Linked DNA regions of Mytilus edulis. The main gene of each other region encodes a partner of the protein of the gene in region 3 in a complex. Links are inferred from orthologs where the notes say so. Each region holds a gene or a part of one and is shown on either strand. Other genes may lie near its edges. The genes, in order: centrin-3, nucleoporin NUP35-like, nuclear pore complex protein Nup93-like and nucleoporin NUP188-like.

Evidence for each region.
Region 1: nuclear pore complex protein Nup93-like (region 3) and centrin-3 share a complex: the UniProt entries of both Homo sapiens proteins name them as parts of the nuclear pore complex. The link is inferred for Mytilus edulis from reciprocal best matches to the Homo sapiens genes NUP93 and CETN3.
Region 2: the proteins of nuclear pore complex protein Nup93-like (region 3) and nucleoporin NUP35-like are in contact, whole or in part, in a crystal structure (PDB 7MW1), measured with the Homo sapiens proteins. The link is inferred for Mytilus edulis from reciprocal best matches to the Homo sapiens genes NUP93 and NUP35. Residues at the interface, in NP_055484.3 of Homo sapiens: Tyr266, Tyr269, Asn402, Ala407, Asp408, Lys409, Thr410, Glu411, Tyr413, Tyr448, His452, Phe453, Val455, Asn456, Leu461; in NP_612142.2 of Homo sapiens: Ala88, Pro89, Pro90, Val91, Arg92, Ser93, Ile94, Tyr95.
Region 4: nuclear pore complex protein Nup93-like (region 3) and nucleoporin NUP188-like share a complex: the UniProt entries of both Homo sapiens proteins name them as parts of the nuclear pore complex. The link is inferred for Mytilus edulis from reciprocal best matches to the Homo sapiens genes NUP93 and NUP188.

The regions. Positions count from the first base shown.
Region 1 is NC_092354.1:69,364,490-69,371,755, reverse strand, and holds the start of centrin-3, read left to right. Parts: upstream 1-4,249; 5' UTR 4,250-4,329; coding exon 4,330-4,346; intron 4,347-7,266. UniProt on the Homo sapiens protein: Plays a fundamental role in microtubule-organizing center structure and function. As a component of the TREX-2 complex, involved in the export of mRNAs to the cytoplasm through the nuclear pores.
Region 2 is NC_092350.1:3,170,027-3,177,433, forward strand, and holds the start of nucleoporin NUP35-like, read left to right. Parts: upstream 1-4,392; 5' UTR 4,393-4,484; coding exon 4,485-4,512; intron 4,513-7,407. UniProt on the Homo sapiens protein: Functions as a component of the nuclear pore complex (NPC).
Region 3 is NC_092348.1:93,171,139-93,178,515, forward strand, and holds the start of nuclear pore complex protein Nup93-like, read left to right. Parts: upstream 1-4,350; 5' UTR 4,351-4,464; intron 4,465-7,377. UniProt on the Homo sapiens protein: Plays a role in the nuclear pore complex (NPC) assembly and/or maintenance. May anchor nucleoporins, but not NUP153 and TPR, to the NPC. During renal development, regulates podocyte migration and proliferation through SMAD4 signaling.
Region 4 is NC_092345.1:50,791,063-50,798,214, reverse strand, and holds the start of nucleoporin NUP188-like, read right to left. Parts: upstream 3,007-7,152; 5' UTR 2,968-3,006; coding exon 2,942-2,967; intron 1-2,941. UniProt on the Homo sapiens protein: Component of the nuclear pore complex (NPC), a complex required for the trafficking across the nuclear envelope. Required for proper protein transport into the nucleus.

The DNA.
Region 1 (7,266 bases), on a different chromosome or scaffold from region 3:
GCTTATATATATCACCAGTACTTAATTTTCACACAAAAAAGTGGAACAACCAATACTTCGGATGTTTTGATATATAAAAGTTTGATAGAACATACAAATCAACTTTTACAAGCATTTTTATAGAACTCATCACATAGACGTATTACTACTCAATTTTCAACCCAATAAGTTCCCCTTTCCTATTTTCCCCTGCATATGAAATGCATTTTCATAAGTTTTATAAAAAAATATATATATGTGTATCAATAGTTGTGTCTGTGCTTGAATAAGAACATATGCTAAGGTTTAATAACTTTTTAAGTCTTTTATTCTTGTTTTTCGAAAAGACTAATTTTAAACCACACTGGTACAACTCCAAAAAAAAAAATCCGGAAAATTATTGGCAGTGCTAACCATGACCGGTAAAAAATGTCTCTTCTGGAGGTAAAAGTCATACAAGCTTAGCAATTAAATCATGTCGAGTCATTTGAGCGTGCCAATATTGTTTTAAACTACGCAAATTATCAGACAAGCCATCCATGCAGTGGTGAGTTTACTCTTCATAAATAACTCCAAGGACAGCCGCGTCAACATTCAGCATGCGTTGTTAACTACTTGATGAAAATAAAAATAATTTGCTTCTAATGATTTAAATTAATCGGGGTATGATGTTGCTTTTCAAATACTAATAGAAAGTCTACATGATATATATATATATAAAAAAGAAGATGTGGTATGATTGCCAATGAGGCAACTGTCCACAAGAGACCAAAATGCGAAAGAAAGGAAAAAAACGTATTCTTTGTCGTATAGTTTGCAGTTCCATTTGTTTACAGATATTTCATTTTGCGAGGGAAAAAAAAGTGAAAAGCTGTTTACGATCGTTCGAAATGTATACTTTTAGCTGAGTGTGTGATATTCCTTAACGAAAAACCAGAACACCCCTTATCAAATAGATGGTATTGGTATTGCCCAAAGTCTATATATAAAATGGTACAACAGTTATTGAGATTTGGACAATGACTGCTTTAAAACTATAATAAAAAAAAGTATGTGGTATGATTGCCAATTAGACAAATCTCCAAAAGACCAAATATTATACATACATTTACAACTATAGGTCACCGTACTGCCTTCAACAATAAGCTACTCCCCTACCGCATAGTCAGCAATAAAGGGTCCGATTTGACAAATGTAAAACAATTCGAACGAGAAAAACAACGGCCTAATTAATGTACAAATAATAAACGTAATGACAACAACTGACTAACAGGCTCCTGACTTGGGACAGCCACATACAGAATGTGGCGAGGTTAAAGATGTAAGCGGGCGCCCAACTCTCCCCTTATATCGGACATTGGGATATGTGGTGTGATTGCTTATGGAACAACTCTTCACATTAGACCAAATGACACAGATATTTACAACTATAGGTTACCGAACGACCTTCAACAATGAGCAAATCCCATACCACTAAGTCAGGTATTACAGGTGTCAAAGGGACAATAAGGTTTATTTCAAATGGTGGTAGATCCAAATCTTTCTTAAAGTCATTGAATGTAGAGATCAATTAGAGATTATAAGAAATATCTTTGTGCACATAAAAATAAACATGGGTTGATAAGATTTGTAGGTACATTGCAATTATGCACTATCGCACTACAATGATTTTGATTTGCAAGAACATGACAAAATATTTCTTGCGGGATCTTTTCAAAACATACCCTTTGAAGAAATTTTTTGTAGGATCTGTAAATGACTTAAGTGACAGATATAAGAATTATTCTGTCGCGTCTTTTTTGCCAATGCACAGATATTGAAAAGTTATTCTAGGGGTTGCATCATATTAAAATCATGACAGTTATTTTTCAATTCTAATAAAGGGGTTTCCTCATATGTCAGACATGATGAATTGTGATTTTAGACTGAAGGCGTTACTTCAACCAAAGCCACAAGACAGTTTTTACCTATTCACGACATATGTAACTTTTTACTTATTGGACCCCTGATGTCTGGCATACAACAGCAGCTCGCGCTCTTACAGAATGCGACACGTCTTCTCTAATTGAAATTGGCAAATGACAAAAATTATTAGGGGTCGGGAAAAACATGCATGTATCAAAATTTGTCATTCTAGCTGGTTCTTATATTCACACATATGTTGCAGTGAAAATTAGTCCAAAGCGGATCAAAATGACCACAGAAGCAATGGTCAATCAGTACATAATGGTCTGATTAAACTCAAGAGTATTGTCGGCGCCATACCATGACATCCAACTTTTTTTTTCTAGTATTCCGTTACCTTTTCAAATTGATGTGCATATTGATGTCTAGTGTAATTGTATTACAATTATACATAGACAACAACCTTAAATTTTGAAGTGTAATATCCCTGTGAATCTTTGTTTGTAGTTCACATATATATCGGGATTTCAAGTCTGTGATTTATTCCATCGTTTATAGTTATATAAAGAAGATGTGGAATGAGTTCCAATGAGACAACTCTCCATTCAGGTCATAATTTGTAAAAGTTAATCATTATAGGTCAAAGCACGGTCTTCAAAACGGAGCCTTTGTTCACACCGAACAGTAAGGGATCTAAAAAATTATTAGTGTAAAACCGTTGCAACGGTCTAATCAATATAAAAAAAACTAGGAACGAGAAACATTTATGAACCACATCAACAAACGACAACCATGTCTGGCGTTGTTTTATATATATATATATAAAAAAAAGGGGGGACACATATTGTCAATGCGATATTGGTCTCGTACTGATTTATTTATTAATATACAGAAAAAACTTCATATACTATAGTTTCATGAACATAAAGACTATTTTTATAGTTCTAACATCATTTTAAGTCTAACTATTCAGCCAAGAATTTTCATAATTTTTTTCATAACATCATTATAGGTCAAAGCACGGTCTTCAAAACGGAGCCTTTGTTCACACCGAACAGTAAGGGATCTAAAAAATTATTAGTGTAAAACCGTTGCAACGGTCTAATCAATATAAAAAAAATAGGAACGAGAAACATTTATGAACCACATCAACAAACGACAACCATGTCTGGCGTTGTTTTATATATATATATAAAAAAAAAGGGGGGACACTGGTTTACTTTACAGTTCTTATTTCTCCTCTGTTACTTATGGCATTTTAACAAAAACTTTCCCCAAAATATCTTTATAGGTAGCCATATATTATTGCATAGCTAAATCTTAATTATGGCAGCCAACTGAGATTACTTTAACATGTGTTATAGCTACATGTTATACTATAGCATCCGCATACCGGTATTTAAAAAAGAAATAAATATGAAAAAAAAATATTTAAAGCTTGAAATAAAAGAAACAAATATAAACCGACTATCTTTTCAAACTGTATGATCTCTTTATTGTTTTATTTATTTTATGTTTTGTCATGGATTTGTCATGTTGGACAATAACAGATTAAGAAAAAATCTGCTCATGATAGTCGTTTTTTAAGAAAGTAAGAATCCGCCGCACCCTGTTTTTTTTTTTATCATTATCAATTTGTCACGTCTATAAAGATTTCACAATTATTGTTCAGCGTTTGCTAGCTAGGAGACATCCTTAATTCATTCAGTCTGATTAAAATACAAGTCACGTGTCGAAGTTTTGCTTACACGCTTGTAAAAAAGCATGTGACACACATGATTTTAGTCAGATTGACTTAACATTCAGACTTTGTCAATCAGACACAATAAGGTATCAATCTGTTAATTATACAATAGTGAAGTTATAATAACTTATATTTCTTTATTCTTTAAAGTTACAAAATCATTAGCTGTTTTCAACTATTTTATACGTAGAGCAAGATTGGATCATCTCAGAGGAGGGGCGAAAGATACCAAAAGGACAGTCAAACTCATAGATCGAAAATAAACTAGCAACGTCTTGGCTAAAAAAGAAAAATACAAACAGGCAAATGATAGTACACAAGACCCAATATAGGTAACTGGAGACTAAGCAACACGAACCCCACCAAAAACTGGTGTGATATCAGGTGCTCCGTAAGGATAAGCTCAACAGTGATGCGTCTTCCAAAATGGGGACGAGGTTATTTGGGGCGAATTGTCTCAACTTAATACATATATTATACTTTCGTATTATTAAAGTTAATGACCTTTTCCTTGATATTATTAGATTGATATTTAATATAAATATTTGTATTATTTTTTTTTCTATTCTATTGAATAAATTGTTGCATATATATTTTATTTTGCTTTACGAAACAGTCACGAATTATCAGCGAACGGGATAGCAACGACAAGCGGTATTTTTAACCGCTATTTATTAAACCGTCAGAAAACTAACTTAGCCATGAGTTTAGCTTTAAGGTACAGAGTGCACGGGTTTCGAGTATTTGTATTGCAATGTAATCGAAAGTAAATCCTACTTTAAACGTTTTGATTTCGTCGTTACAGTCAAAAATATTTGCAAATCTTTCAAGTTCTGACAAGTCGAATTTCATGTGTGAAAGGATATGATTACAAAAATTAATTATTTCAAAGTTGTCATTGTGAAAGCATTGACTTGTAAACTTGTTAAATTACTGAAATTAACGTTTGATGTCAACAACGACACAAAATTAAAGTAAAACATTTTTATAATTTGGACCATCTAAGTTAGCCACTGGCACTAGCCATGCTGATAAAATATTTATATAGAAGCCAGGGGTTAAAAAATCCACTAGCCCGACGTCCGGGACTACAGCATTTAGGCCTCGGGCAACCAGAACTTGTAACCCAATATGCCCGACGGACTAGTAACAAAAAATTCTTGGCGTTTCCAAAATAGAAAGTGGAAAATCCCCTCATCACTATTCTATCTTAGCCAATCAGATTCGACTTCTTCTTCTTCTTCCAGGTAAGGAACCGAATTCAAATTTTGAATGTATGAGGTCCCGCGAAAACTAACGCAATGTCGGACAACACAGAAAGTTTTCTCTTGGCTATTTACAGGATAAAACGTTCTCTATATATATACAATTAAAACTATTTACAGGATGTTACTGTCTAAATTTTAGCAGAGCATGCCTTCAGGGCAGCTCTGAATCCATCAACTGTGTCAGCTGATGTTGCTGATGTTGGAAGTTGGTTCCAGTCTCTAATGGTCCTTGGAAAAAATGATTGTAAATAAGGACTCTGTGACGGGCAACTTATAATATCCGTGTTTTAAAGATTTTAATGATATCAAGCCTATCAAGCCAGTCCAGTTCACAGTACTATCACGTGGTACAATTCTCATTTACATATCATGAATATTAATTAGCAAAACCACTACTAATTTCTGGCAATGGGATATTTTTTTTGCTGACATAAGTTTTGGGTATCCAATTTGCTAAAATCTACTATACAACGGATAAAAAATGTTAAGTTTATAGAATTCATTGTATATTGCAGCAAACTCTGAATTTTTAAGGCATACTCGGGCTAGCAGGTCAATTTTGTTGGGCTAGTAGTTCTTCCAACAGGGCTAGTAAAATCCTGCTACCAATTAGCCCTGGGCTAGTGAGCTATAACCAGTCAGGGGACTTACTTAAATAAGTGATTTTCTAAATCACTGATTCAAGTAACATTATTTCCATAAAGGTTGGAAGTTAGAGTTGTCTTTCTTTAATAATCACCTATTTAAGTAGTACAAATTAATCACTAGAAGAAGTGATTTAATTTTATTTTAGCTTTAAATATAGAATACTAATGACCCAGGGACTAATTATGTTTCTAAACTTCTCAGAACCAACATCTGTGTTGTCTAGGATGACCAGGTCATTTCAGGTGATGACCTTGTACTGAATCTAGGATAATGACATAAAAATCACTTGTTTAAGTATCAGACCTCAATTTCCTTTCCAAAAATCACTTCTTTAAGTATCATTCTTTTAATAACCCCCACTAATTTCAACACCCCCGAACAGTGAAATTTTTATCGCGAACAGTAGAATTTTATTACATAATCTGAAAGATGAAACCTTGAACTTCATAGGAAAAATACCCCTACTGCTGGGAAAAATCTTTTAAAAAAGTATCAGTTCATTAAGTAAAGCCATTATTATAGCATTTTTTCAACTAAAATAGAATTTTCAGCTAAATGATAGCATCAAAGTCATAAACCTTGCTACTTAAAAGAAGCAAAAAGTTATTTTTTTTAAATTTTACTAATTAAAAGATATGATTTAAACCTATGTGTTTAAAATTTTGAAAAAATTACAAAATTCCAATTTGTGACAAAACCTCGAATTTGCTACTCAAATAAGTGATTTAAAAATCACTTATTTCAGTAAGTCCCCTGACTGATAACAAAATTTCTTAACCCCTGGAAGCTGTTTGGTCAATTTATGTAGTATATTCATAATAACCAACTCAAGTTTGGTCTATCGATTTTCAGGAATTTTAATTTAAGTACTGACAATGACTGAAAGCCATAAAAATCTATTTTATTTTTGAGAAAATACATTTTGTTTTCAATTTCCAATGCAGTTGGAACATATATATAATGACGGGACTTGACACTACTTACCAAACTATGTAATTTGTAATTGTAACCGATTTTATAGTCAATAAAGACGATTAGGAAACAGATGTATTAAAATATTTACTCACTTTTATCCTAATAATTTCTGATAATATCAATAAAATGTCATTCAAACTAATGTTTTGCATTAATTTCATTACAGAAGAGTAAAGAATGCAAACTTATTAATTAAAAAAGAAGCCGATTGCATTCCCAAATTCAAAATCATAAGAATATAAAAAAAATGTGGTACGATTGCCAATGAGACAACTGTCCACAAGAGACCAAAATGACACAGATATTAACAACTATAGGTTAGGCCAAAATAAATAAACAGTGTGTTTCCTATTTCACCCCGAAAAAATTTAGGTAGGGTAGGTAGGTAAAACATTTTATTTTATGAAAACTTTTTATTTTTTTCTATCGATGACAGCAGAAAAAGATTCAAAATGAAATCATTTGATGTGCCTGCATGCTTCTTTGATATTTATTAGTACTTAATTAAATCTACAGGTTTTTTAATTTTCTGTAAAAAATATAAGAAATATGAAAATTAACTTACGAATTTCATGGGCCGTAATAGGAATATGTTCTTGCCAATTAATTATCTTAAAGCAAAAATGGCAGTGAAAAATCTGGCATGTTATTATTGTTTGGCCTCGTTGAACCTAACAATGTAAATGACACACAGGGTATACATGTGGGAACAGACTCCTATCCCCTTTTTAAGTAGTAGAATCACTG
Region 2 (7,407 bases), on a different chromosome or scaffold from region 3:
CGTTACAGTTATCTGTTTAGCTATTACATTTTTAAAGATTATTTACACCGTCCGCCGTTGACTCCAATTGATGATAACATAAATCAAGCTTGTCTTTTAAAATAACAAAAAATGGTAAAAGACAGCTTTGCGTAGGGGGATAATTCATGTGATATAATTTTGGTAAGTTTACAGAAATAGAAGGTCCACAATGCATTAATCGAGTAAAAATGGAGCAATTTCAGAAAACTTTAATGATTGGTTTAGGAGGTGTTGGAAATACCTGATGGGTGCCCCCATATAATTTAATGTTCAAGTCCGTATCTTATATAAAGTAACCCCATTAAAGATTTTTACTAAAAATCGAAATAGACGGTACACAATACAGTCATTATCATTTATGATAAGGAATCCGAATAAGATTAATTAATAGTTATATCAGTGACGGATTCAAAAAAAGGGGATCCGGCAGTTTGAAACCCTTTTTAACTATCAATTCATTTGTATGGGAACATATATTTGGAATCCCCTTTTCTCCTGGATTGGACCCCTCTCCATTTAAAAATGGCCGGAACCCCCAATGTATATTAAGTGGTTTATGAGGAGATGCGCTTACAAAACCGGCGGAACATATTGTACCGGTCCAACGGACGAACGGAAAGACGGACTTCTTTATCACTATAACCCTCCGCTTGACAAAGTGGTGTACAATTGAGTGTCAAAGAGAGTTTTCTCGTTTGAATTGTTTTACATTGTCTTATCGGGGCCTTTTATAGCTCACTATGCGGTATGGGCTTTGCTCATTGTTGAAGGCCGTACGGTGACCTATAGTTGTCTATGTCTGTGTCATTTTGGTCTTTTGTGGATAGTTGTCTCATTGGCAATCATACCACATCTTCTTTTTTATATAGCTCTACATCTTAAACAAAGTGAAGGAACTGTGATCAATTATAGGCCTCAGTAAGGCCTCGAATGTGTGTAAATACATGCATTTTTATGTAACAACTAAATCTGTGTGTTTGTACAATTTTAAGTATAACGGAGGACATTTCTGAAACTTATATACTAGTATACATCAAACCTTCCTCTTATTTTAGCAACATTTAAACATCCTTATACTTAAAGTAGTAAGTCGAGTACACCCAATCAAGCTAAAACATGTTTCATAAGTTTTCAGGATGTGAATGTATTGAAATATATTTGTGTTATTTAGAAAAATGCCACCTTCTAATGTATCGTAAATAACTTTGAAATCACCACTAGAATACAGTGACATAAAGACTGATCATACAGTTTTAAAATAAACAAGCGAGACTGATCGTACAGTGAGAAATTCAAACAAGTGTAATTTTCTTATTTCTGGCTTCAAAGATCTGGTTGAAACTTTTACCACCACTTGAAATATACTTCATTGAGTTAATTAAGTCTGGTTTTACGTTAATTTGTACACTAAGAGGGTAAAAAGATTGTTTTTAGGTTCGCCGACTGATTTTTCTTAGTGATGCACTTGAAAATCTCTTGATTAAGGCAAAGACACGGATATTGAATGTGCGGAATTTAATTCTAAACCATTTGAGAATATCGATGTCGGCTGAATTAATCATTAAGCAATGTACAGATGATCAACTTACCGTTTAATTCAGTATACCCATCAAATTTAAAATGTGATCCAAAAAGTTCTCGCTTCGAAAATCGCGACTTCCGGATAGCGTACAGAATAGTATCTACACTGTGTAGTGTATATATGTTATTGTTAATGATTTTTCTTTGTCATATTATTTTTAAATTAAGTCCATATGTACATAGCACACAAGTTCCGGGAAGTTTTACACTCCTACCTAGGAGTCTACTCCCGTATTCGGAAGAAGAAGAAGAACTTCAAGCAGATGATGTATTTATTTACTCAATTGAGTTATTGGACATATCGATCCATATATATTCTATAGTCATTTCCACAACACGTCAAATCGTCTCTAGACAGATATATAAAGCGTTTTAGCTATCACGTCTAATCATACACCTTGTCATTTTGTAAAATTGCCGGAAATTCTTAAAAATTAAATTGCGTGAGTCATGAGTTTAAAAAAAAAGAGTTTTGAGTGAAATGTCTTCCTTGTACTGTTGCCTTGATAACTCTTTTAGACTATCTTGTTCCGCCCTTATACCACACTCTTGATTTCATTCTCTATGAATAATCTTCAATAATTCGGAAGGATCGCTAGAAAATTGACAACTAATAGTGTTTGGCGAAAGGTGCTTTATTATAATAATGCAATAATATACAATTATACCAAACATGGTATCAATAAGCAACAATGAACAAGTGTGAATATGAAGCACCTTAACCCAAACGAAGTCGCCAAACAGGAAAGAAAAAAAAACAAAAAAAAACCCCAAAAAAACATGTGTGTAATCATGATCCTGTTTAGTCTGACAATTCAATAGAAGAAGGATACCCTTCATACAGCTTGACATTGTACATGATAATAATTTCGTTAATCAAGCAAATGACAAATATGTAAAACTAAAATTTCATCAACAACATTGTAATTCATGTGTAATTCATGTAATTATTATCTTTGACAACAGTATCAAAATCAGTGCTACATCATGCATAATAAAGGCATCAAAAAAAATATGGATAATTTCAGTCATAAATAAACACCCTTGTAAATACAGCGGAGGGAAAGGGGGGACTTCTACACTACACAATCATGGCACTAGTGATCACACTATTAAACACTACTTAGTCTAGGTGAACTTATCGTCTCTAGACAGATATATAAAGCGTTTTAGCTATCACGTCTAATCATACACCTTGTCATTTTGTAAAATTGCCGGAAATTCTTAAAAATTAAATTGCGTGAGTCATGAGTTTAAAAAAAAAGAGTTTTGAGTGAAATGTCTTCCTTGTACTGTTGCCTTGATAACTCTTTTAGACTATCTTGTTCCGCCCTTATAACACACTCTTGATTTCATTCTCTATGAATAATCTTCAATAATTCGGAAGGATCGCTAGAAAATTGACAACTAATAGTGTTTGGCGAAAGGTGCTTTATTATAATAATGCAATAATATACAATTATACCAAACATGGTATCAATAAGCAACAATGAGCAAGTGTGAATATGAAGCACCTTAACCCAAACGAAGTCGCCAAACAGGAAAGAAAAAAAACCCAAAAAAAACATGTGTGTAATCATGATCCTGTTTAGTCTGACAATTCAATAGAAGAAGGATACCCTTCATACAGCTTGACATTGTACATGATAATAATTTCGTTAATCAAGCAAATGACAAATATGTAAAACTAAAATTTCACCAACAACATTGTAATTCATGTGTAATTCATGTAATTATTATCTTTGACAACAGTGTCAAAATCAGTGCTACATCATGCATAATAAAGGCATCAAAAAAAAATATGGATAATTTCAGTCATAAATAAACACCCTTGTAAATACAGCGGAGGGAAAGGGGGGACTTCTACACTACACAATCATGGCACTAGTGATCACACTATTAAACACTACTTAGTCTAGGTGAACTTATCGTCTCTAGACAGATATATAAAGCGTTTTAGCTATCACGTCTAATCATACACCTTGTCATTTTGTAAAATTGCCGGAAATTCTTAAAAATTAAATTGCGTGAGTCATGAGTTTAAAAAAAAAAGAGTTTTGAGTGAAATGTCTTCCTTGTACTGTTGCCTTGATAACTCTTTTAGACTATCTTGTTCCGCCCTTATAACACACTCTTGATTTCATTCTCTATGAATAATCTTCAATAATTCGGAAGGATCGCTAGAAACTTAAAGAAGAAATTTTATAGATAGCACCTGTTCTACTGACATATCGAAATAATGGATATACTCTCCAAAGAGGCGGGGATTCAAAAAGGAATAAGTTATCAAAGGTATCAGACTTTTAATTTAATAGATAAGATTAGTACTTAAAAAATAGATTAGTTCATAAAAAATAGATTCTAAACATGCTAAAGTCAGACAAGCTTTTTGGAAAGCATTTACTTATTTCTGTTGTATAAACATTTATACACGATGAATATTTAAAGATCACCTTCAACTTAGGACTACTCCTAGTTATGTAAATCAATGGTCAATAATAGACGTATTTACACTTGTATGCAAATTTGTCCGCCATTACGTAAAATCACACAGGTTCCCGTAAACTTTTACATCATAATTTAAATTATTTGACGTCACAATTTAAAAGTGATTGTTGCTTGACGTCAAAAGGTGATTTGGAGTAGATCTCAGGTCATTCGGAGGCAAGATTCAGCTAAATACCAAAAGTGTAAATACGTTTATTAACTAGGAAATTGCAATACAAATGGTCAGAAAATAATCCGGATAATTTTGCATCTCCATACCGACATATTTTTTACAGATTTCATTTCCTCCGCATGCGCACAAATTTCTGATCGAAAATTGAAAGTTCAAAAGAAAATAACTTTATTATTTCTTTGGATTGCTTATTAATAAGGAAATGATGAGTCATACTTTTGACAGTTATGGTAAAAAAACATAGACAAATTGATTTTTTATTTACTTTGTGATATATCGGACAACACCAAACAGGCACTGCACTGTCAGAGACAGAATGTTTGGCTGTCAATCATTAAGTCAACAATTTATGCACACTACATCCCATGAAAAGACATGTAGTGATGTAAAGTCATTATATGGTTTACTAGATACTAAACATACTGGTACTGAGCGGTTCCAGCCATTTTAAAAGGGGTTCCCAAACCAAGAATTAAAGATAAAAGAGGGGGTTCAACCATATGTCCCCATTCAAAATTGACAAATACATTGGTCTGTGACGGCATCACAGGCACTTGTTCAGTGTTCCAGCTAGGCCGTTTTCAGAGGGCGCGGCGCCCTGTGCCCTTTTTACAGTTTCCAGGGCGCCCTGCCTTTTTTGAAGATCGATTGCATATTAATTTGCGTATTGATATGATACGCTAATTACTAAATTTTACCTGGGGAAAAGATTATGACTTTGTTTACCACCCCAAGCTAATCAATGGTTACAACTGGTGTCATAATCTGTTGTTATAGGTAATCCGTTTATCGGATGGGTCATTAATGATCATCAACATTAATTCGTTCAAATAGAATCGGTCAGTCGGCAATTATCTTTGAAGAAATGTGCATACAACAACTTGGGCACAATTTGCGATGTTTACCGTAGTTTCATGGAAGAAACGTAATGACAGAAAGTTGGAAAACCATTATAAACTCGTTGAAGACATTGTTTTACTTGTTTTCTGTAAAATAAACAGAAAATTCAGACGTATTTGTCATTGACTGCCTTCATTTTTGATACGAAAATAACAAAATCGGCTGCCATATTGTGATCATATTTGCATCATATTTACGTACTGTTTATAATCCTCCAAAGAAGGAGCACACCCGAATAAAGAAAGATAACTCAATCTGATTTTTTTCCTAGCATTGAGTAACCCATTTACATATTCTAAAATGTGTCTCCATACTTCTTGCTTAAGAATATGTATGTTTAGGTATTTATTTAGAGTTATGAGAAAAGTTAAAGAGGGTCTTAGTAGCAGTGTTGGTAGGGTGCCTTGGTCATCTTTTTCTGTATTCTTTATTTTTGATACTATTTTTCACTGTTGCTTTATATCATGTATATCCTAAAATTGTGAATTTACTGAGCACAGCTGTTTTGTGCTGTATTGCCATCAAGCACAGCAGGGGTAGAAAGGTGAAACTGGTAAAATGTGGTAGAAACAGTATGAAACAGATCTCCTTTCAAAACATTCTGCATATAAAGTTCAACTGTGCCAAGCAATGATAAAAAAACTTGTGTGACAAGCTGCTTGACAAGTTTTTCAGCCTTAAAAGTAGAAAGATAGAGTTCTATATGGGCTAAAGATGTTGTTCTTGTATAACCTGTGATTCAACGAATAAACACAAATGTTTGATTAACATCTTTTATTAAAATATGCCCTTTTCATATTATCATATCGCGCGTTAAATGCCCTTTTTCAGGATTGGCACCCTGCCCTTTTGAAAACCTAGCTGGAACACTGTTGTTTCTATCCATACGAAGGTCGACTATCCATATAAATAGAAGAAGGTGGCTAACGAAATTTTTTTTAGGTCACGACAGTCTCCGCTTGGGACGCTTTTTCTACCCTTCAACTTAATGCTAAAAATCCCTACCTTATATGAATCGATTCAGTGAATATTTTCCTTTAACACTAAACTAATTTCATAATCCCCACAGTGTTCCTCTTCACGGTAATCTACTCTCAATTCACTAAACCATGTCCAAAAGTTCAACTACCATCTTTTCAATGTATCTACTTCCGGTTGACATCGCAGTAAATTTATTTCGTTTTCATTGACTCAGTTTCTTTCCCCTAATTCTTATGAATCTGAATACGTTTTTTACCTCCAAAATAAAAGATCGATGAAATTCTTTAGAGTTAATACCATATACATTCGGAATTCTCTAGTATTATCGAATTCATTCAAATTAGTTTCTGATTTTCTGGCTTTTTTTTATAACAACGATAAATGTACTTATTTCGGTGAAATTTCATCTTTAAAAATATATTGATAATGAAAATAATAAGCTGGTAATTTTACAGAATCATTTCGTTTTTAAAAAGATAGCATTCTTCCCACAACCGGAAGTAGATACATTGAAAAGATGGTAGTTGAACTTTTGGACATGGTTTAGTGAATTGAGAGTAGATTACCGTGAAGAGGAACACTGTGGGGATTATGAAATTAGTTTAGTGTTAAAGGAAAATATTCACTGAATCGATTCATATAAGGTAGGGATTTTTAGCATTAAGTTGAAGGTTAGAAAAAGCGTCCCAAGCGGAGACTGTCGTGACCTAAAAAAAATTTCGTTAGCCACCTTCTTCTATTTATATGTATAGTCGACCTGCGTATGGATAGAAACAAGTGCCTGTGGACGGCATTGCTACCCTTAGCTAGTAGATACTTAGACAGCTGTTAACGGTCAAGTTAAGGAAGTACTTCTTTAGCTCAGGAGGTTCAAGTGCTGCCTTGTAAGACGGATATTATCATGAGTCCTGGTGGAGACGAGCAATTTGGTAATAATGAAATTCATGCTTTTCCAGTTACATTGGGGCCCAACTGAAAAACCCTCAGTTGTTAGAGAGAAATTTAAGCTGTGGTATGTGTTTACGAGTCATAATGATACATGTATGATGCCACTAGAGGTGGGGGGAAGTGTGACTGGATTGCTTCCCTTCACTAGTAGACACTTAGTCAGCCGTACAATGTATTAATCAATCATGTGTCAGTCAGGGGCAGTGATTTCAAGATCACTTGAATAATTCAAATTATGACATCAAGAAAAAGACAAATTTAAACATACATTTGTACTTCATGATCATGTTTATCCT
Region 3 (7,377 bases):
AAAAAATCCCACCTGCGCTTTCTCAATTATATTTTTACAGTGTGTTGTACTACTTTTGGGACAAATTATATCAAAATTATAGAAAACTTCATTAGCTCTTACTCAAAATATGGACAATTTTATGTTAAGGGGGTCTTGAAATCTTTTGACAGCTTCCGAAGTGCTAATTTTTGACCTTTTTCAGCTGGACCTAATCACTACTTTACATTAATATTTATTACCCAATTTTTTTTACAGTGTCATTTCACCCCCCAACTTGCTATATGAGGCATAAAACATGGAGAAATAAATTTGGAAGGGGTATAACAAAAATTGGCAAGTAACACACTGTCCACACTAAGGACTATATTCGTGGACAACGAAAATCAAAGGACGATAACTGTGTACTCTGACCTAATAGGATAGAAAAAGTTGACCAATCTTAATAAAACTTGGTATGACTAAAGCTTAATATATTATAAGACTGCTTACAAAGTTTCATAGCAATAGGATATATATTATAGACAATATGATTAATTCTATATTCAACTTTGTGTGTTAAATTTAGACGTTAAAATTGAGAAATTTCAACTATCAACATTTGGGGCTTTTAAAATTTAAATTTGGCAAAAAAATACTTTTAAAATGCCTTAATATATAATATATCATGTATTTAAAGCAATAGAGTACTCATTTGATATATCAGACTTAGCATTATTATTCAAAAGTCAAATTTATATGAGCCTGTGCTTAAAAATAGAGGTTTTCCAATGAAAGGGTGTCTTACATGAAGATGTAATATTTTCCAGCAAATTTAAATTTGTGAAGCTTTTTGATTATAAATAATCCTTACATATCTATTTAATGTACTTTAAATGGAAATAAAACTTACAAATAACATATCATATTAGTTTAAAAGGGTCTTAGGCCAAGTAAGACTAAAAATAATTTAGGGTCAATTTAGGCCGCAGCACATATTTACATTTAAAAGTGCATATTGAAGCTATAGGAAATACAAATTTGTGTCTTTTCTATCATTTCTATACTCAGGTGACATGATACAATAAATCTGAGCACAAAAAGGCTCTTACATTCAACTTTTTAGCAGACAGTATGGTCTGATACAAAGATTTTTCACTTTTTAGTGAAAAACTTGCATGCAATTTTAGTCTCAACAGGCTTATATTTGAACCACATGCTATCCTACAGAAGTAAAGAAAGATATTATGAGAAATGAAACAGGTACAAAGGACATTGTTAAGTGTTTTTTATACAAATTTAGTGAGGTCTTTATTATTGACTTCAACTTTTATGTGCCATGCTCCTCACATTTAACTTGATCCAAACAGGGCGTTAGACGAGGGTCATTTATACAACACATTTTGCTCATACTGTCCAAGATAATCTTCTTTTCTGTAGATTCAGAGTTCACAAATAAGTAATAAAACTGGATTAAAGCATAGAAACACAAAAATTGAGACATGAAAACATGTCAGATAGAAAGTCAGAATGCCACTTATGCATCAAAATTGAAAAAGCTATGAAATGCTTATTTTGACCATATAATGCCAAAATTGGTCATTTTTGCAGAAATTCTATCAAATAAAAGTTTAAATCCTTTAGTTTTAAGCTATTTGACAAATTGACAACATCAAATCATTCAGGGAAGTTGCCAGAGTACAGATTCTATATTTCCTGATTTCACCTCTTAGGTCTGAGTACACAGTTATTTCGTAGTGCATTTCTTTTAGATAATAAATGAAAATTTTAAAAATCCCACCTGCGCTTTCTCAATAATATTTTTACAGTGTGTTGTACTACTTTTGGGACAAATTATATTAAAATTATAGAAAACTTCATCAGCTCTTACTCAAAATATGGACAATTTTATGTTAAGGGGGTCTTGAAATCTTTTGACAGCTTCCGAAGTGCTAATTTTTGACCTTTTTCAGCTGGACCTAATCACTACTTTACATTAATATTTATTACCCAATTTTTTTTACAGTGTCATTTCACCCCCCAACTTGCTATATGAGGCATAAAACATGGAGAAATAAATTTGGAAGGGGTATAACAAAAATTGGCAAGTAACACACTGTCCACACTAAGGACTATATTCGTGGACAACGAAAATCAAAGGACGATAACTGTGTACTCTGACCTAATAGGATAGAAAAAGTTGACCAATTTTAATAAAACTTGGTATGACTAAAGCTTAATATATTATAAGACTGCTTACAAAGTTCATAGCAATAGGATATATATTATAGACAATATGATTAATTCTATATTCAACTTTGTGTGTTAAATTTAGACGTTAAAATTGAGAAATTTCAACTATCAACATTTGGGGCTTTTAAAATTTAAATTTGGCAAAAAAATACTTTTAAAATGCCTTAATATATAATATATCATGTATTTAAAGCAATAGAGTACTCATTTGATATATCAGACTTAGCATTATTATTCAAAAGTCAAATTTATATGAGCCTGTGCTTAAAAATAGAGGTTTTCCAATGAAAGGGTGTCTTACATGAAGATGTAATATTTTTACAGTGTCATTTCACCCCCAACTTGCTATATGAGGCATAAAACATGAAACTGAAATGGAAAAAAAAAATATCTTATCACAATAGTTACTTATCATTATTATATTCTTCTAGATGAAACCCTCTGACAAATTAAGCAAAATAAAGCAAAACAAATACAATTGTGTATAACAATGAATCAGTGATATTGTTTGCCTTAAATTACTGGAGAATAAGGGCTTTTTCCCCTGGTGTAGAATCCCAATTTGGAAAAAAAAATGGCTTAAAATTATTCCCAAAAAGACAACTCTTTTCCCAAATAGTGCAGTCTCAATAGTAATTGTGCATGAATGCAAACTGAAAAACACTCATTTATACATTGTTCATGCCTACAATGACTATATGTGTAGATTTGAGGGTTCATTTATGACTTATCACTGACCATAAGGGGTTTTGTTCCACTTTTGGTCCAAAGAAGCACAGGTACAAAACAAGATTTTGTTAATAAATGTATATATACAGAATACATTATTCACTATTAAATGTGTACTAGATTAGAATTTAGGGGAAAAATCTCTTTTTTATTAAACTTGTATTGTTGATAAAATTATTTACAATTTATCATAATCTTCTTTACTTATTGCCTAAAACACAAAAAAGAGTAAAAACAAAATCAACATGTAAGGGCAATCACTCTTAGGAGTATAGTATACAAACGATTTTGGCGATACACTTATAAAATGTATGTAGACCTTCCCTTGCTAATAATTTTTGTCATTTAAAGAGTTTATCTATCTTATATAGTTTTCAAGTGAACTAGAGAGATGGACCAAAACTGCAAAAGTCACCATGTATCTGTATCTGTATATTTCTCGGAGAGATTTCAAGAGAGACATTCTTTCAGTTTCTAAAGGTGTACATGAAATCAGAAAAAGTGAAATGGTTTCATCCTCTTTGCCACAGACTCTGCAGATGGCAGATACCTCATTTTGAAAAAATTTCACTCCATATATTTGTCTTCAAGACATGCAAGATGAAATTGCCAGTTGCAAATCTGGTCCTAATTGTTAATTTGATTATGTCTCTACAGTTTGATGTATTTGTTGTAAGTATTGGATGTATTCTTTCTGTCTTATATTCACCAGATATGTATTTTAAGCTGGAGTATCTCTCAGAGTCTTTATTAATTTTTTCATTCCAGTAGGTTACTAGGTATGTATAGACGTATTTACACTTGTATGCAAATTTGTCCGCCATTATGTAAAATCACACAGGTTCCCGTAAACTTTGACATCATAATTTAAATTATTTGACGTCACAATTTAAAAGTGATTGTTGCTTGACGTCAAAAGGGTTGAGTTCAATATCGTAGCAGCTACGTAGCAGCTACGTAGCCGCTACGTAGCAGCTATCAATATCTATGTAATAACTAGTATTTAGCTACACGTTCAATAGTCAAAATCTACGTAGCGCTACGTAGCAGCTACGATATTGAACGCAGCCAAGGTGATTCGGAGTAGATCTAAGGTCATTCGGAGGCAAGATTCAGCTAAATACCAAAAGTGTAAATACGTTTATTCATTTGGTGATAAACTTTCCCATTGCTTTGACTTTTTTTGTAGACTATACATGTATGATAAAAATTACATTGGTGGATAACATGGCAATTTAGAAAACTTACCAAGTAACTGATTAATCTAAACAAAAAGCTTTCTCTAAATTGAAAGTACACTTAAAATATTGCAATCCTGGGAAACACCTGACAAAACCTGGGCGCAGACATTTTGGATAAATCAAGGTAAATGAGACGCTTGAATGTAATTCAGTGGATAACTTACGTTTATTAAAACATTTTAATGATCCAATTTCAAATCATTCTTATTTTCCTTTGGCGGTTTTGAACCGGTTGAAGAACATCAACAAGGATTGACAGAATAGGCTTTTGCCATATGAAAAGGTTACTTATTTATGATGAGACAACAAATAGTTTGGTTTTGCCCTGATGTACTGAAGGAAAGCATATGTATCCCTCAAATCTATTGTTATCCTTTTAATAGAATTATTGTAGTTCATGGCAAATGTGGTACCTAGTCCCTGAATAAAAATGACATCTGGCAAGGCTATTATTTTTTTTCTTTCTGGGATGCCTTACCGTTAATATATTTTTTCTGTCATTGCCAATTTTCAAACACAGGTACTAGACTTTCTATCAATAACAAGAACATATAGACCATGGGAAGAAAATAGTTTCAATTTATACGACAATGTCTTTTTTATATACCTTGGCACCAGGGCTTCCAAAACGGTGATATATTCCGGTCAGTTTATAATGTCTGGTAAAAGTCCGGCTGTGCAAAGCATGAAACGGTCATATACTTTTTAGGTTTCAAGGCTTTTTCAGTCATTTTTACATAATTCACGATCTTTTTGAACCAATCTTTTGCCTATAACATCAACACAATAAAAAATTCCGGTCATAAATGTGACATGATGATTAATTACTATCAAAACAACACCTACTTCAATACTTTCTAATTTTAATCAAAGGACATCGTATAAATTGATCGGTTTATTCACAATTATTTTCTTACATTTCAGCGGTTTGTATCTAATTGATTTAGTCCAAAAGATTAAAATTATTAGAAATTAGTTGATCAACATGATTTGATGAAAAATTTAAAAAGGTTTTATATGAAAAATCGTCAGAACTATGTCGTATGAATTAGAACATGTGTGCACAGGTGGAAAAGTTAATAATGCATCCTCATTTCTTCAAAAATGCTAACATTATTATTGATCTAACGTTCATTTCAAGTATTTTGTTGAAGAAATAACGGGGAAAAGAGCTTCTTCTCTCTGTCGTGCTTTGTAAACGTACACAGATTTAAGTATCCCTTTATGGTCCAAGTTTTACCATTGTCAAGTCAACATCCAGTTAGAACAATGTGAAAACGAAAGTAAAGTTTTTGACAATGTCATTTTGCACAAATAAAAAGTCTAAGGCTGATGTGCACACTTTGAATTATGCACTGCCAATTTAACAGTTACACCCGAACATTACGTTCAGGTATTTCCCATCCAATATTTTATGGAAATATTCTTTATAAAGGACAAAAATGTAAGTATTCACCTCAGAAGCTAACAAAACCTTTAAATAGACTTATTAAGAAGGGATATAGTTACGATACTGTTGTCAGGTCATTAAAGATTGCATATTTTGGCGTTAATATTGATTTACTTATAGGGTCTTTGCATCAGAACTAATCACATTAATATTGATAAACCAGTTGTTGGCATGACACGGGTTATGTTCTTCTCATATATGTTATGATGGTATGATACTAAACCCCTCACGGGGAGGATTGTGCCTGATATTCATATGATGAAGACATAATTTTTCAATCAGTTTAATTGAGGTCCGGAGCTGGCATGTCAGTTAACTGCAAATAGTCTGATGTTATTTATGTATTATTGTCATTTTGTTTATTTTCTTTGGTTACATCTTCTGACATCAGACTCGGACTTCTCTTGAACTGAATGTTAATGTACGTATTGTTATGCGTTTACTTTTCTGCATTGGCTAGAGGTATAGGGGGAGGGTTGAGATCTCACAAACATGTTTAATCCCGCCGGATTTTTGCGCCTGTCCCAAGTCAGGAGCCTCTGGCCTTTGTTAGTCTTGTATTATTTTAACTTTTAGTTTCTTGTGTACAATTTGGAGTTTAGTATGGTGTTCATTATCACTGAACCAGTATATATTTGTTTAGGGGCCAGCTGAAGAACGCCTCTGGGTGCGATAATTTCTTGTTGCATTGAAGACCTGTTGGTGACCTTCTGCTGTTGTCTGCTCTATGGTCTGGTTGTTGTCTCTTTGGCACATTCCCCATTTCCATCATCAATTTTATTAAATTCATATCATATCAAAGTAAAGTTTAAATTTTTTTAATGTAATGTCAATCATTGGAATATGGCCATCTGATTACCATAATTGCCTTTTGTGACTAAGTCTTAAGGGATTAAAATTGGGATCAGATATGAAATGTCCGGCTGGCTCAAATATTTTTTGGAAGCCCTGCTTGACACACACATGATATAGTAAGATCCCCACATGTTAGTATGTTGATGGATTTCTGAAATATCGGTCTCTCTAATATGTCACTTTTGGAATTATAATAATAATAATAATAAATTCTTTATTTAAAGAGGGTATACTCAGTTAGTTACAATAAACTAATCTTCCCTGAGGCCCTCACATACAAATGATACAATCAAAACAGATATTTACACATAGTTAATTTACAATCATGTAGTTCAATGTCATTAACATAAGATATAATGCTGTTTAAGATGTATACATGAAACCAAAAAATCAAATGAAAGTAAAAAATATATAAATACATTGTAGCAAACATTTCTTATCAGGGTTGTGTTAGGTACTTCTTGATACTTTGCTTAAAAGTAAAAGTGTTTTGAGCTTTACGCATTTTGTGTGGTAGTCCATTCCATAATACTGATCCAGAATAAGCAAAGGATTACTTAAATAGTTCAGCTTTTGGCTTTGGAACTATCAGATTACCTTGAGCGACACCTCTTAAGCCTAAAGGAGTAAGGATTATTATCTGATTTCAGTTTAAACTTTTGAACTAGGTACATTGGTGCTTCCATATGCATACATTTATATAGAAGTAAATATTTGTGGTATTTTATTCTATTGTCAACTGTCATCAACCCAAGTTTTTTAAATAAGGGGGCTGAGGGGGATAAAGGATCTGCATCTAGAATTAATCTTGCTGCCCTTTTTTGGAGTTTTAAAATTCTTGAAACTTGAAAGCAGGGAGACATTTGTACAGGTGCCCCTTCTATCTGGTAA
Region 4 (7,152 bases), on a different chromosome or scaffold from region 3:
ACAATCCGTATACTCCTGGTCCGGGGTTATATCAGGTCACAGTCCGGACTCGCCTAATATTAATTTGTTGATTCTCGGGGAAACGTCTTTTATTAATGTTTCCGACGACAATCCAATAAGGGAAAAAGTTGAATGAATAAAAATGAATAAGTTCGTCTCATCAAATAATTTGTGAAGTTTTATATCTCTATCGATGTCTATAGTTTGCGAATACACCTAGTCCGGGGTTACTTCAGGTCACCATCCGGACTCGCCTATTAGATTTAATGTTTTCGTTAAATGTCGGATACATATCTTATAACTTTCTTATGTATTACATGATTGATCAAATGTCCCATCAATATACTTTACGACAATAAACAGTTTACATACAGTTAGTCGTCGTAATGCAATACACGCAGGTATAGTAAACTTCAAGCTAGTCCGGGGTCATGTCAGGTCACAGTCCGGACTCACTTGTTCAGGATTGTGTATTACATTGTTGAACGCCGCTTAAGTGTCGTTTATTGATTTTTCCGATGACAATCGAATAACTAAAGAAATAGAGAAATGAATAAAGGAAATGTAAAAAGCAAAAAGGGGAAAAAAATCTTTCAATTAAACAAATAATTTAGTATATTTATATACAATCCGTATACTCCTGGTCCGGGGTTATATCAGGTCACAGTCCGGACTCGCCTAATATTAATTTGTTGATTCTCGGGGAAACGTCTTTTATTAATGTTTCCGACGACAATCCAATAAGGGAAAAAGTTGAATGAATAAAAATGAATAAGTTCGTCTCATCAAATAATTTGTGAAGTTTTATATCTCTATCGATGTCTATAGTTTGCGAATACACCTAGTCCGGGGTTACTTCAGGTCACCATCCGGACTCGCCTATTACATTTAATGTTTTCGTTAAATGTCGGATACATATCTTATAACTTTCTTATGTATTACATGATTGATCAAATGTCCCATCAATATACTTTACGACAATAAACAGTTTACATACAGTTAGTCGTCGTAATGCAATACACGCAGGTATAGTAAACTTCAAGCTAGTCCGGGGTCATGTCAGGTCACAGTCCGGACTCACTTGTTCAGGATTGTGTATTACATTGTTGAACGCCGCTTAAGTGTCGTTTATTGATTTTTCCGATGACAATCGAATAACTAAAGAAATAGAGAAATGAATAAAGGAAATGTAAAAAGCAAAAAGGGGAAAAAAATCTTTCAATTAAACAAATAATTTAGTATATTTATATACAATCCGTATACTCCTGGTCCGGGGTTATATCAGGTCACAGTCCGGACTCGCCTAATATTAATTTGTTGATTCTCGGGGAAACGTCTTTTATTAATGTTTCCGACGACAATCCAATAAGGGAAAAAGTTGAATGAATAAAAATGAATAAGTTCGTCTCATCAAATAATTTGTGAAGTTTTATATCTCTATCGATGTCTATAGTTTGCGAATACACCTAGTCCGGGGTTACTTCAGGTCACCATCCGGACTCGCCTATTACATTTAATGTTTTCGTTAAATGTCGGATACATATCTTATAACTTTCTTATGTATTACATGATTGATCAAATGTCCCATCAATATACTTTACGACAATAAACAGTTTACATACAGTTAGTCGTCGTAATGCAATACACGCAGGTATAGTAAACTTCAAGCTAGTCCGGGGTCATGTCAGGTCACAGTCCGGACTCACTTGTTCAAGATTGTGTATTACATAGATGATCGATCGCTGCTTAAATTTTATTGGAGCAATTCCAACTTTGTATGATCATCCAATCAGGAGCCGCAGAAGATTTTATTCAGAGTACCATCTTGGGGTAAAAAATATCCCGGTTAACGTATACGGCCTTGTAAACTTTTGCCACTCATTATATATAACACAAGATTATTTCTGTATTTCTTACCAAAGGAATACTACGGATACGGAGATTACGTGAATATTTCATAAGCGATGTATCTTAGTTTATTTTGACAATGGCTGCTAAAATAAAATTATTTCTCTATATTGAACATTTTTATTTATTATTTCATTATATCTCGGAGCTACTGCCCCTTTAAATCTAACTTATATACATGCTTGATTATGCTTGATTATATATTATATGACAGTAATCTTTAAAAAAAAACCGAAGTGGTAAAAAAAACCACAGTCCGGGTCCGGCATTCAGTCCGGGTCCGGCGGCCAGTCCGGGTCCGGGTCCGGGTTTCATACCAAAGTCCGGGTCCGGAGTCCGGTCCGGTCCGGGTTTCAGTGCGTACCACAATACCTGCCAGGACATGTCACATATCCCCCCAAAATTTGGATCAAACTAGAATTTCAATGCCTTTGAGTAATACCTTTTTAGAAACTGTTTTCATAAATCTTCCTAATGATCAAATAAAAAATGGGTGTCTTTCTCCTCATTTTTTCGTAAAATCCAATCACAAAGTTCGTGCGATAAAAAGTTGGAAAAAAACATTACAATAATTGCCGGACCAATGTATGGTAGGGACATGCAAATACGGACTGTCATACAGAGAACAGCCTATATTACATACTCTTGATGTTCATATAAACCCAATACAAAGGCTATTTTAATACTCAGCTATCCAAAAATGAATTTTATTGCACACTAGCTCTAATATTTGAAAAATCCACAGGGGCCAAAATGCGAAACTACACACCTAACTGTGGAGTGCTACCTTATGTTATTTTTTGACTATTTGCGGACCATGGTCCGCAAAGTACGGTTCCGCAGCTAGGGTTACTGGAACCACACATATTATATTTTAATTTCTGCCTTCAAACCAGGGTCGAAAATGACGATATTATAAAACTGGAAGAAAAAGGACAAAAACTGTGACACTGAAATGACGAATTGGTTCAGGCAATTAAATGAGACCGATCAAAATAGTAATATATTATGGAAATAAGGGAAAATCTTCAACCTTTCAGATTTCAGCTGTCCCGCCATCACATTTCACATTTTGTTTTACCGGAAACACAATAAAGGTACATAAATGAAAATCAATTGACGGACCTTCAAATTTCCGAGGTAGTTTTTTTTTTTAAAGCCCATCCTCCTAAAAATGAATAATAGCACCTGCCAACTGTCACTATTTGAGGGGGATTTACTACCTTAATATAAGTGTTATATTTAGGTATATAGGAAAGAAATTTCCGAGACATGTGCCTGTGAACGGCGATTGAGAAAAACAAATCCGGGTTCAGACAAACTAAAACTGAGGGAAACACATCAATATATCATAAAGGTTTATAGGGGGAAAAAATTCTGAGACGAGTGCCTGTGATAGTTAAGCAAAGCATGCATATTGATATTGATATTCTAATTAACTTGAAGTTATAATATGCATTCATATTCTATAAGTTTTCAGACAAAAACTTAAATTTAACAACCTAAAAATAATGCTTTTAAAGTGTTACCGTCAAAACCAGTGTCTTACTGTTGTGTGTTGGTACATATTTAAATCTTACACATGAAATATCATTTCACTACAAACTTGAACTGTGTTTCATCTTTGTGTCTGACTATAGGGTGTGCAAATAATTCACACCAACTTTCTTTCCAGTTTTTCCCATACCGTTGTTCAGCAGCCTGTTTTGTTTGCATTTATGGTGACTTGAGTAACACCGGTATCACTCAGATTACAATTCTACATTGACAGGTAAGTTTGTATTTAGCCTATAAAATACTTATTTAGCCTTGAGAATTGAAAGGTAAGTTTATCCCATTCATACAATAGAAGTTGATACATTTGGCTTCAAATTTTCTGTCTTGTTTTCCTTCTGAAGATAAATGTCTCTGTTTTGTCAAGTCTTTGAATACATTTTCATTGATTTAATGATTATATTCAGTGTTGGATTTTGTCACAATAAGTTGTTGCTCATCTACAGTGGTACACAGTTGAAAATGACAAGTCTGCTCAAGAATGTAACATGATAAGGACATCGTCGTGCGAAAAGAAAGACCATCTGCATCGAGGAGGTAGTTGGGTATGGTTTTGCACCCGTCAAAAGGGCATGCTGTTTTTCAGGTTGTGCGTCCGTTCGCCCGTTCGTCCGTTCGTCTATCCCGCTTCAGTTTGAAGTTTTTGGCTGAGGTAGATCTTGATGAAGTTGAAGTCCAGTAAACTTGAAACTTAGTACACATGTTCTCTTAGTATGATAATACTAAATAGGAGTTCAGACCCCAAATTCACGTTCGACAGAGCACATAAAATGGCCTTGCAAATGAGGCATTCGTATTATATGGACACATTCTTGTTATGATATATCTTTATTTATTATTTGTTGTTTACCGAGACTAACACAATTGTGTTGCACCAGGCAACACTTATGATTAAACTACCTATATGGAAGTCTGGTACTAGGTTGGTATAAAAAAATTAATGAAACTAACATTTTTATATCTGTTTTGGTTTTTTTTTTAAATAAGGTAAAAAAAATATGCAAAACTCAAGAAAATTGAAATAATTGCGAAAATTATTTGGCGAACCAAACTGGTATTACATAGAGTGTATAACATTATACCTTTTACTTTTGCATCTTTATTGTATAATAATTCATCATGTCTTTTATAAAAGAGAAAGAAAAAAGAAAAGAGGGGAAGTCTCGTCTCCACTTTGCACATTTGTTTGCAATAGCAATCATTACAATGTAGGCACACACACACAGTATTCATTTACAATTTGCTTCTTTTGTACACATTTTTACTATAATTATAGTACTTAGTTAGAAAATGTAAGAAAATCTCATTAAATTGGCAAGTAGGTCATAGGTCAATGCCATAGATACCTACAATAATATTTTGACCTTTGATCTCAAAGTGAATAGGTTTTTTTTTAATACTTTCGTGCATGTTGGAACACGATCTGATTACCCTGTGACAAAATCTTTTGATATTTGCCATATGCGTGCAGCACCTCACGAAAATCTGTTGTGATCCATGGAAGATTAAACTGACTTTGACATTTATCCTTAAGGGTACATGTATATAAAAGTGGTTTATATGCAATGGCCACTTCAAAATCATATACTTTTAATTACAAAATATATTTTCGCTGTTTGACAATCCACACACATGCGAATAAAATGCTGCAAAAAATTATGCTTTTACAATTTATGATGTTTTTATTTTTGCTATCCCTACCTTGTTGCAACTTTGTCAATAATAACACAATTATACTACATCTTCTAATTTTTATTGTTTGTCATCGCAGTTTCTCCAAAACCTTTGGAAACAAAAGCACGGTTTATCTTTATCACTTTCTTTGTATAAAAGTCAGAATATGACAACAGAGAATTATTCCTATATGTCACAATGACTCTGATTCACTATAAAAAGTTAGTGTAGATGTGAAAATGGCACAAAGATAATTGTACATGTGATAGATACATGTAGCTGTGGAATTAACAATCTTATCAGATTCCCATTTTTTTATAAGATGAATAACTGGCATCACTAAACGTGAAAATTACTTAGTTTAATACAGTTTGAACATAACAATTAGTTTATCAAATCTATAAATTTAGACGAAACGCAAAATGACATACCACATTGATAGTTATAATAAGTTTAATTTTTTTTGGTGGACATATTTCTGAATAACATATATTTTGAAAAAATACAGCTTTTGACATTTTTTTTCCTTTTTACAATTCTTTTTTATAAATTGTTCCCATTTTCCAATACTGATTACGAGCTTCCTAAGCTGGAACAAGCATAAGAAAAGAACGCTGATGTCTCAGATCTATACCAATTCAAGTTCCTGTCCACTGTTTATGATACCCATCCACTCAGTAATAGTGGAGTAACACATTGAAAAATTGCTGATTATAAAGTACGACATAAATCGACTGGCAGACCTAGAAATATGAAACAGGTCCATATTGCATATATATAACGTATTGACCCCTCGTCCATTATTGATGGATATGCACGAATGTTACGCGAGTTTTCGTCAAGATTGGAAAGACTTTGATCAAATCATCTCCTCCTCAAATGTTATCAACTTGGACTGAAGAGTTGATAAGTTACGATACATGTTAATAACAAAAACGGTTCTCTACATTTGTATAGTACATCTACCAGGTCATATACATGTACTACTGGGTTTTGTTAATGTCCTTAAAATAGATATAGGAAGATGTGGTGTGAGTGCCAATGAGACAACTCTCCATACAAATAACAATTTAAAAAGTAAACCACTATAGGTTAAAGTACGGCCTTCAACACGGAGCTTTGGCTCACACCGAACAACAAGCTATAAAGGGCCCCAAAATTACTAGTGTAAAACCATTCAAACGGGAAAACCAACGGTCTAATCTATATAAACAAGACGAGAAACGAGAAACACGTATATATTACATAAACAAACGACAACTACTGTACATCAGATTCCTGACTTAGGACAGGTGCAAACATTTGCAGCGGGATTAAACGTTTTAATGGATCCAAACCTTCTCCCTTTTTCTGAAACAATAGCATAACATCACAACAAAGAAAAACATACGATAAAATATCAATTGGCAGACTTAACTCAATCAAAAAACGTATGATTAAACAATGAACGAATAAATTTGATCTGCGATATCTGAATACAAATGCACAGTTAATTAAATATTAGAGACAAACATTCATGACCAAAAAGCTAACAAACAAATTCAAACGCAGGACATGACTGAGAAATATTTAACCAATCAATGTTAACTTTAGAAAAAAAACGTTTTTTTTTATAATCTTGAAGTTTATACAAATGTTGTAAGAATAAGTGAAAAATTGAAGATAATACAAATAATCAAAGCTGGTGTACAGACAAGATCCATATAAATAAAAAATAACAAAAAAGCATTATAAACAGTATCAACAGGTCGAATTAACAAGAAAATACGATTTGAGAGTACTCGCAGTTACTGACAGCTAGTTAAAAGCCAAAACCAATTAATAATAAAAAATCATGCATCAGAGACTAAAATCGACTAAAACACATCACAGGGATTTAGTATTTTAACGTCATTAATAGTCAAAGAAGACATGACTTGTGCAATGCCAAAAATAAATGTATCGACAGGTAGTAGTATAGTGAAGAGCGACTTCTATAGAAATAAAAGTTAACGTGTCTGTGTCTCTATACATCTC